Caenorhabditis elegans: one gene and its partner. The protein of the gene in region 1 interacts with the protein of each later gene in a pairwise test. Each region holds a gene or a part of one and is shown on either strand. Other genes may lie near its edges.

Region 1 (3,754 bases):
GAGAATGTAGAGAAAAATCTACGGAAGTTGGATGTAAGTCCCCTGAATGGGAACTCTAAATTCTGAGAATGCGTATTGCACAACGTATTTGACGCGCAAAATATCTCGTAGCGAAAACTACAGTAATTCTTTAAAGTACTACTGTAGCGCTTGTGTCGATTTACGGAAATAATTTATTAATCGATAACACACACACACACACAAATTACAAAACAATACGAAAAAATTCGTTTCAAAATCGAGTCCGTAAATCGACCCAAAGGCTACAGTAGTCACTCCAGATTTCGCTGCGGGATATTTTTATATTTTGCGCGTCAAATATGTTGCGCAATACGCATTCTCGGAATTTCGCGTTTCCGACTAACAAGAAAAAGAAAAAAAAATTTAGGAGCATGGCCTTCAAAGAGGCAATCTATCAGCTGATGAGGCTCTCCTTCGAGTTTCTACCACTACATCGTTGAATGAGGTTATGAAGAATGCAATTTATATGCAGGAATCTGCACTTGAAGATTTAAATTTTCGAATTCAATTCTACAAAGTTATTGATGAGATCGCGGATCCTACAACGATCCTTGCAAGTAGTACGTCAACAATTCCAGCGTCCAAGTTCACTGATGGTCTGATAAATAAGTAAATAGACTTCTTTGTTATCTTATTTCTATTAACATTAATTCAGGGAACGTTGTCTTATCGTCCACCCCGTCAATCCTCCGCTCTTCCTTCCTCTTACCGAGCTTGTTCCTGCTCCGTGGACCTCACAGGATACTGTAGATAGAGCTGCAGAGATCATGCGATCTGTGAAGCAGGAGCCGGTGAAGCTGAAGAAAGAAGTTTTGGGATTCGTTGTGAATCGTCTACAATTCGCTTTGCTAGCAGAAACCTGGCGTTTGGTAGCCGATGGCGTCATTGGCGTGAATGATGTGGATGCGGTGATGTCAGCTGGTCTAGGGCCGAGATATGCGTTCAATGGGACTTGTGAAACGGTTCATTTGAACGCGTTTGGTGTCAGAGATTATTTTAAAAGATATGCGGCTGGAATTACGGCGGTAAGGAGCTTGAAGCTTGTGCTTTTTATTTTTATTTTATTTATTTTTATTTCCGCTAGCATTTCCAGGTCCTGAAGGATATGGGGCCGATTCCAGATTTCACAGACGAGAAAGTCATTAATAAGCTTGAAGAAGAGCTGGAGCCGAAAATGAGCACTTTGAATATTCGAAAACATCAAGCGGAGAGAGAAGAGAAGCTCGTGGAAATTGCCAAGCTGAAGAAGGACCTGAATCTTTAATTTTTCCTCTTATTGAATTTATTTTGTCAATAAATGCACAAAAATACTCCCTTTTTTTGAGATATTTATGACATATTTCATTGCGCAAAAATGTCGTAACAAGATACAAATCTATGTAACAGCAAAAATACGATAAAAATCACGCGAAGGACACACAGTTGACCACTAAACCGGTAATTACATGCACGGGAATTGATAATTATAGATTTTGTGTTTCAAAATGTTTTGCAAAATTCAATGGAAACATTTTGCAATCATTAAATTAATTAATTATGTAATTCGATTTTCAGAAAAATCAATAATTTTCGAGGCTCGTAAATCGTTCGGACTACCGTACCCAGGCGCGATCGTTGCGAGACCCGCGCGCGGGCAGCTTTGTTTTTTGAAAAATCACACGTGTTTTTCGTTGATTTTCTCCTAATTTTCGTTTTAAAATGGGAAATTCATCGATTTTTCGAGATATTATCAACGAATTCTGGTATAAATCCTTCTTTACCCCGTCAATTTTATAATAAAAAGTTGTTTTTCAACCCTGAAAACGAAAAAAGCACTAAAATGAACATTCTCGCGTATATTAAAATTAGAAAACGGGATAGAAAAGGGTATTTGAACCCTATTTCCGTAATTTTTGTGTCCTTTTCCCGTCAATATATCATGATAATCACTGAAATGGCCCATAAACACAGCTGACAATTTATCATTGTTCTCGTTGTTCTTAGCCTGGCGCTGTCGGCGCATTCCGGGTGAAGGTCGGTGCTAGATTAATTGCCTTTTTCCGTCGTTGTTCATTTCTTTTCGCCGTGTGACATTTTTTTTTTCTCGTGTTCCTCTTACTTTTTCAAATTTCACAGTACATTTCGACTTTTCAGATGCAGCGTGTACAGCCGTCTGCAGCAAGGGTAAAGTCCCAGAAGAAGGAGAAGGCGCCGCCAGATGTTCCAGACGTGATTCTCGATGGAGAACGCAAGACTCGTTATGAAAAAGGCAAATTTTTGGGAAAAGGAGGATTCGCACATTGCTACGAGCTGCGGAACAAGTCTACAGGCGAGCTGTTTGCTGGAAAAGTCGTCCCGAAAGCGCTGCTTATCAAGCAGTATCAGAGAGACAAAATGGCTCAAGAAGTGCAGATTCATAGGAACCTCCAACATCGCAATGTTGTGAAATTATATCACTTCTTCGAGGTTTGTACATTATTAATTAGGTATTAATTAATTAATTATTTTTAAAAAAATTCCAGGATAAATCAAACGTCTACATCACGCTGGAATTGTGTCCAAGAAGATCGTTGATGGAGCTGCATAAGCGACGAAAAGCGGTCACAGAGCCTGAAGCCCGCTACTTTACATATCAAATCGTGGAAGGTGTGCTCTACTTGCACAATTTAAAGATTGTACATCGTGATTTGAAGCTCGGAAATCTCTTCCTCAATGATGAATTGCAAGTGAAAATCGGCGATTTCGGGTTGGCAACAACTTGTGATAATGATGAGAGAAAGAAGACACTCTGTGGAACTCCAAATTACATTGCACGTATGTTTCACGCAGAATCGTTGCAAAAATCGAATATTTATTTTTCAGCTGAAGTTTTGAACAAAATCGGGCACTCCTTTGAAGTCGATTTATGGGCGATTGGTTGCATTCTCTACATTCTTCTTTTCGGCCATCCGCCATTCGAGTCGAAGAGTTTGGAGGTAAAGAAGCAGCAATGAGGCGGCACGGTTTCTCCGATTTTATTGTTTCATGTCCTTTTTTGAAACGTTATCCTATTTTATGCTAAATTGGTTGTAAAAACATGAAATATCCTCACAATCTGATGAGAATTTGATTGGATAACATTTTCATCTGAAAATGATGATAAAAAGAAACTTTATTGAAAAAAAAAACAACTAAAAAATGAGGAAAAAAACGTTGCCGCAGAGTTGCGAAATTACGCCACGCCTATATTTCTTTGCGGCAAAATTCATCATATTTCATATTTCAGGAGACCTATTCGCGCATCAAAAACAACAACTACGTCATCCCAACATCGGCGAGTGCTGCAGCATCTCAACTCATTCGTGTGCTTCTTGACCCAGTGCCGAGTCGCCGTCCAAATGCCAGAGCTGTATGCCGAGATCACTTCTTCAAATCCGGCTTCATGCCTGCTCGTCTTCCAGTTTCGTGCCTCACGATGGTCCCACACTTAAACGATGATGAATACGCAGAGGAAAATGTGTCTCCAAGTGGCACGATCGATCAGCGTGGTCCGCACCAAGCTGGTAGATCCGGACTTTCTGCGATTCCGGCTCATCTCGTGTCGAGAAATTCTGAACGGCAGCAAACTCACCGAATGGAGGCGTACCGACAGCCGACTGACTGCTATTTGTCGAATTTACTCGCTCAAGTCAACGATTTATTGGCTACGCCAACCGCAGATGTAAGGAAATGACATTTTTAATTTAAATAGCAAAAATTTTACTTTCAGATTGAT
Region 2 (3,754 bases), on another chromosome or scaffold:
TTTGACGCGCGAATTTTTTCAAAAATTAAAATTTGCTCGTCAGATCAAGTGTATCGACTCCGCCCCCTCCCAATGCACCAGATTTCACGCGCATAATTTAGAAAAACTGAGCTTGCGGACTCGAAAACACTAGATTTGACGCGCGAATTTTTTCAAAAATTAAAATTTGCGCGTAAAATATGGTGTATTGGCTTCGTCCCCAATGCACCAGATTTGACGCGCAAACTTTGAAAATCTGCTCGTAAAATATGGTGTATTGGCTCGGCCCTCAATGCAACAGATTTCACGCGCAAATTTGAGAGAAATTTGAGCTTGCGGAGTCAATACACCAGATTTGACGCGCAAATTGTGGAAATTTGCTCGTAAAATATGGTGTATGGACTCCGCCCCCAATGCACCAGATCTGACGCGCAGTTTTTCATCGAAAAAATTAAAATTTGCTCGTCAGATCAAGTGTATCGGCTCCGCCCATCAATGCACCAGATTTTACGCGCAAAGTTGAGAGAAGTTTGAGCTTGCGTACTTGAAAACACCAGATTTGACGCGCAAATTTTATGAAAAATTTAAATTTGAGCGTAAGATATGGTGTATCGACAAATTTTCAGCCTCCTCCCCGGTCCAGTTACATTAATGTTCGAACGCCTTCCATGCCTACCGGCGGAATTTAATCCGGGAGTTGTTAACGTAGCCTGTCGGGTTCCAGACTGCCCAATTGTTTCGACGATATGCAAGTAAATAATGGAAAAATAACGTTGTTTTGGAAATCGAAAAATCAATAATTATCGATTTTTCTAAATTTTTTGAAATTCGAAAAATCGGCAATTATCGATTTTTTTTTGAAAATCGCCAATTATCGATTTTTTGGAAATCGGCAATTATCGATTTTTTTGAAAATCGGCAATTATCGATTTTTTTGAAAATCGCCAATTATCGATTTTTTTGAAATCGGCAATTATCGATTTTTTGGAAAATCGTCAATTATCGATTTTTTGGAAATCGGTAATTATCCATTTTTTGAAAATCGGCAAATAATCGATTTTTTTGAAAATCGCCAATTATCGATTTTTTTGAAATCGGCAATTATCGATTTTTCAATTTTTTTTTCAGAAACCAGTAATTATCAATTTTCCAATCCGGTCCCATTTTTTCCAGAAAACTCGGCCAACCGCTCGCTCAAACATCGGCCAACGTCAGTGGATCCTCACTCAACCCGACATCAATCGATCATTTCCGAGATCTTCATCCGAATATCGATCTGATCCTCGACGCCGGATCAATCATCTCCAGTGGTGAAGGATCAACGATTGTCGATTTGACTGTTGAATCAGGATTCCGGATTGTTCGAAGTGGATGTGCTGAGAAGGAGACGATGCAGAAGCTTAAATCATTCGGATTGACGAAAATTCAGTGATCTTGGGGTTGTGAAGTTGGAAGAGTTTTTCAAGTTTCTAGGCCACCCGACGTCACAAATTCTGTATTTTCCACATTTTTCTATGATTTTTTCTTGTTTTGTACACTGATTTTGTTGATTTTTTGTTAATAATTCATATTTTTTGGAAAATCTTTTTTTATTATTTTTTGCCATTTCCCCAGTGTTTCTCAACACTTTTTATATCGATTTCCAAACAATTTTATTTGAAAATTCTAATTTTCAGAAAAAAAAACAAATTTTACAGATAATGGGAGACCCTGTGGAGGGCAAGGGAGGACCACAACCGCGTGGCGGCAAGAAAAAAGGTAATTTTTGGGGGTCTCGTAGCGATTTTACGGGTAGTAGTTACAGTAGGTCCAAAACTTTTTTTTTCCAAAACATTAATTTCCCCCCAAATTTCGAATTTCGCGCCAAAAATTTGGAAATAAAAAATTCAAATTATCCTCAACAACATTTGTTTGAAAAATTCAATTTTAATCGTGCGCCAGAAATTTTGAAAAAAATTGGATTTCCCCCCAAAAATGTTTTCAAAGTATTTAAATTTCCCGCCAAAAATTTAGGAGCTGTACAGTACCCCTACAGTACCCCTTCAGTACTGCTACAGTACACCTACAGTGTCCCTATAGTACCCCTATAGTACTCCTACAGTACTCCTACCGTACCCCTACTGTACTTCTACAGTACCCATACAGTACCCCTACAGTATCCCTACAGTTCTCTTATAGACCAGTACAGTACTAACACAGCACCCCTACAGTACCCCTACACTCCCCCTACAGTACTCCCACAGTACCCCTACAGTACCCCTACAGTACCCCTACAGTACCCCTACAGTACTCCTACAGTACCCCTACAGTACTCAAAAAATTTGAATTTCGAAATTCAAAAAAAGTTCAAAATTTTAACTCCCGCCAAATTTTTTTGTTGAAAATTTAAATTTCTCACCAAAAAATGTGTTTTTTTTTTCAAAATTTTGAATTCCCGTAAATTAAAATTTCATTTTTGCGCCAGATTTTTTCAAAATTCAAAATTTCCACCAAAGTTTTCGAAAATTCCCAACAAAAAAAAATTCCAGACGCAGACGACGAGAAGAACGCGTGGGAAGAGGGTGATTTCATAGATGAAAAGGTTCGTTTTTTGAAATTTGAAATTTTCCATTTAAAAAATTAGAAAAAAAAGTAGTACTAGACCCCCCCCCCCCCCTCCCCTAACACAGAACAATCCCCCTAAGATGTACATAATATAGATCCATCTCAAATTGAGCCGGGGCTCCACTTGCACATCATCTGCCACGTCATCGGCCCCCTCATCCACGTCATCAACACGTGCCCGGCGCAATTGGTCAGTCTTCTCGGAGCGGCTACGGGAAACGTTGAGCCGAGTCGGCGGCGGCGGTCCCTCATCCACTACTGATTCTCTGATATTGTTTGACGTGAAACGTGTTGGTGATTGCATGTGGATTTGTGAACGAGCTGCTTCTCCTCCGTCTTCCTTTGATTCATCTTCCTCGGATTCCGATGACGATTCGTTTCTTCGAATCTTCAAATTCTTCCCACCAACCCCTGCAGTCTCCTTGGACACCCTTGCGTCGGGATTTGACAACACTGGAAATGTGAGGATCTGGCCTGGAAGTGAGGCACTCGCCTGGACCATCCTACGGGATCCCAACAAGATCCTTGGTCCCAGCCTTGGCGACGGTGATGGTGGTGGCCACAGGAGAATCCTAGAGCTTGGCGCTGGCTTCTTGGGACTTTCAAGCATTCTGATTGCATGCAAGGTTCCCGATTCGAGTGTCTGGGTTACAGATGGTAACATGGAATCCGTGCGTTCTCTGGAAAAGATTCGAAATTCAAACTCGTCGTTGGATCGCTGCTGCCACGTGCGGCAGTTGATTTGGGGCGCACAAGAGCTCCAGCAGCAGCACACCTTTGACACGATTCTCGCGGCGGACTGTGTATTCTTCTCGGAGCACCACGAATCTCTCATGAAATGCATTCACTCGCACCTTCGGCCCAGTGGCCGAGCGATTTTGTCGAGCCCCCGCCGGAAGCAAAGTTTGCAAAAGTTTTTGGACTATGTTGGCACTGTGTGGAGTGACGAGTTCACGGTTTGCATCGAGCCGGATCTCAATTTGGCGTTGGAGCAGAAAATCGGACGAATTTGGATGGACGGAGAGGAGAAGGACGAGAAATTTCCGATTCTTGTGATTCTGCAGAAAATTTGAGAAAATTTAATTTCTTAAATTAAAAAAAAAAAAAACTCGTTGCGTTAGATTTACGCGGCTCGTGTACTCCTCCTCAATTTCGTGGTGTATTTTGCATT

Evidence for each region.
Region 2: the proteins of plk-2 (region 1) and Y48E1C.1 interact in a two-hybrid assay, tested with the Caenorhabditis elegans proteins (one study listed by BioGRID).

What each region holds. Positions count from the first base shown.
Region 1 is NC_003279.8:2,756,605-2,760,358, reverse strand, and holds the start of plk-2 (Serine/threonine-protein kinase plk-2), read left to right. Parts: upstream 1-2,154; coding exon 2,155-2,466; intron 2,467-2,522; coding exon 2,523-2,814; intron 2,815-2,862; coding exon 2,863-2,975; intron 2,976-3,265; coding exon 3,266-3,700; intron 3,701-3,748; coding exon 3,749-3,754. Other genes in the region: Y71F9B.9 (3-hydroxyacyl-CoA dehydrogenase), read left to right, coding at 1-33, 389-630, 677-1,046, 1,115-1,285. UniProt on the Caenorhabditis elegans protein: Serine/threonine-protein kinase which plays a role, during oogenesis, in chromosome pairing and synapsis, by facilitating the recruitment and attachment of meiotic chromosomes to the nuclear envelope during prophase.
Region 2 is NC_003280.10:13,413,350-13,417,103, forward strand, and holds the start of Y48E1C.1 (Centromere protein S), read left to right. Parts: upstream 1-1,676; 5' UTR 1,677-1,679; coding exon 1,680-1,737; intron 1,738-2,507; coding exon 2,508-2,560; intron 2,561-2,678; exon of another isoform or gene 2,679-3,754. Other genes in the region: Y48C3A.18 (Threonylcarbamoyl-AMP synthase), read left to right, coding at 606-731, 1,153-1,411.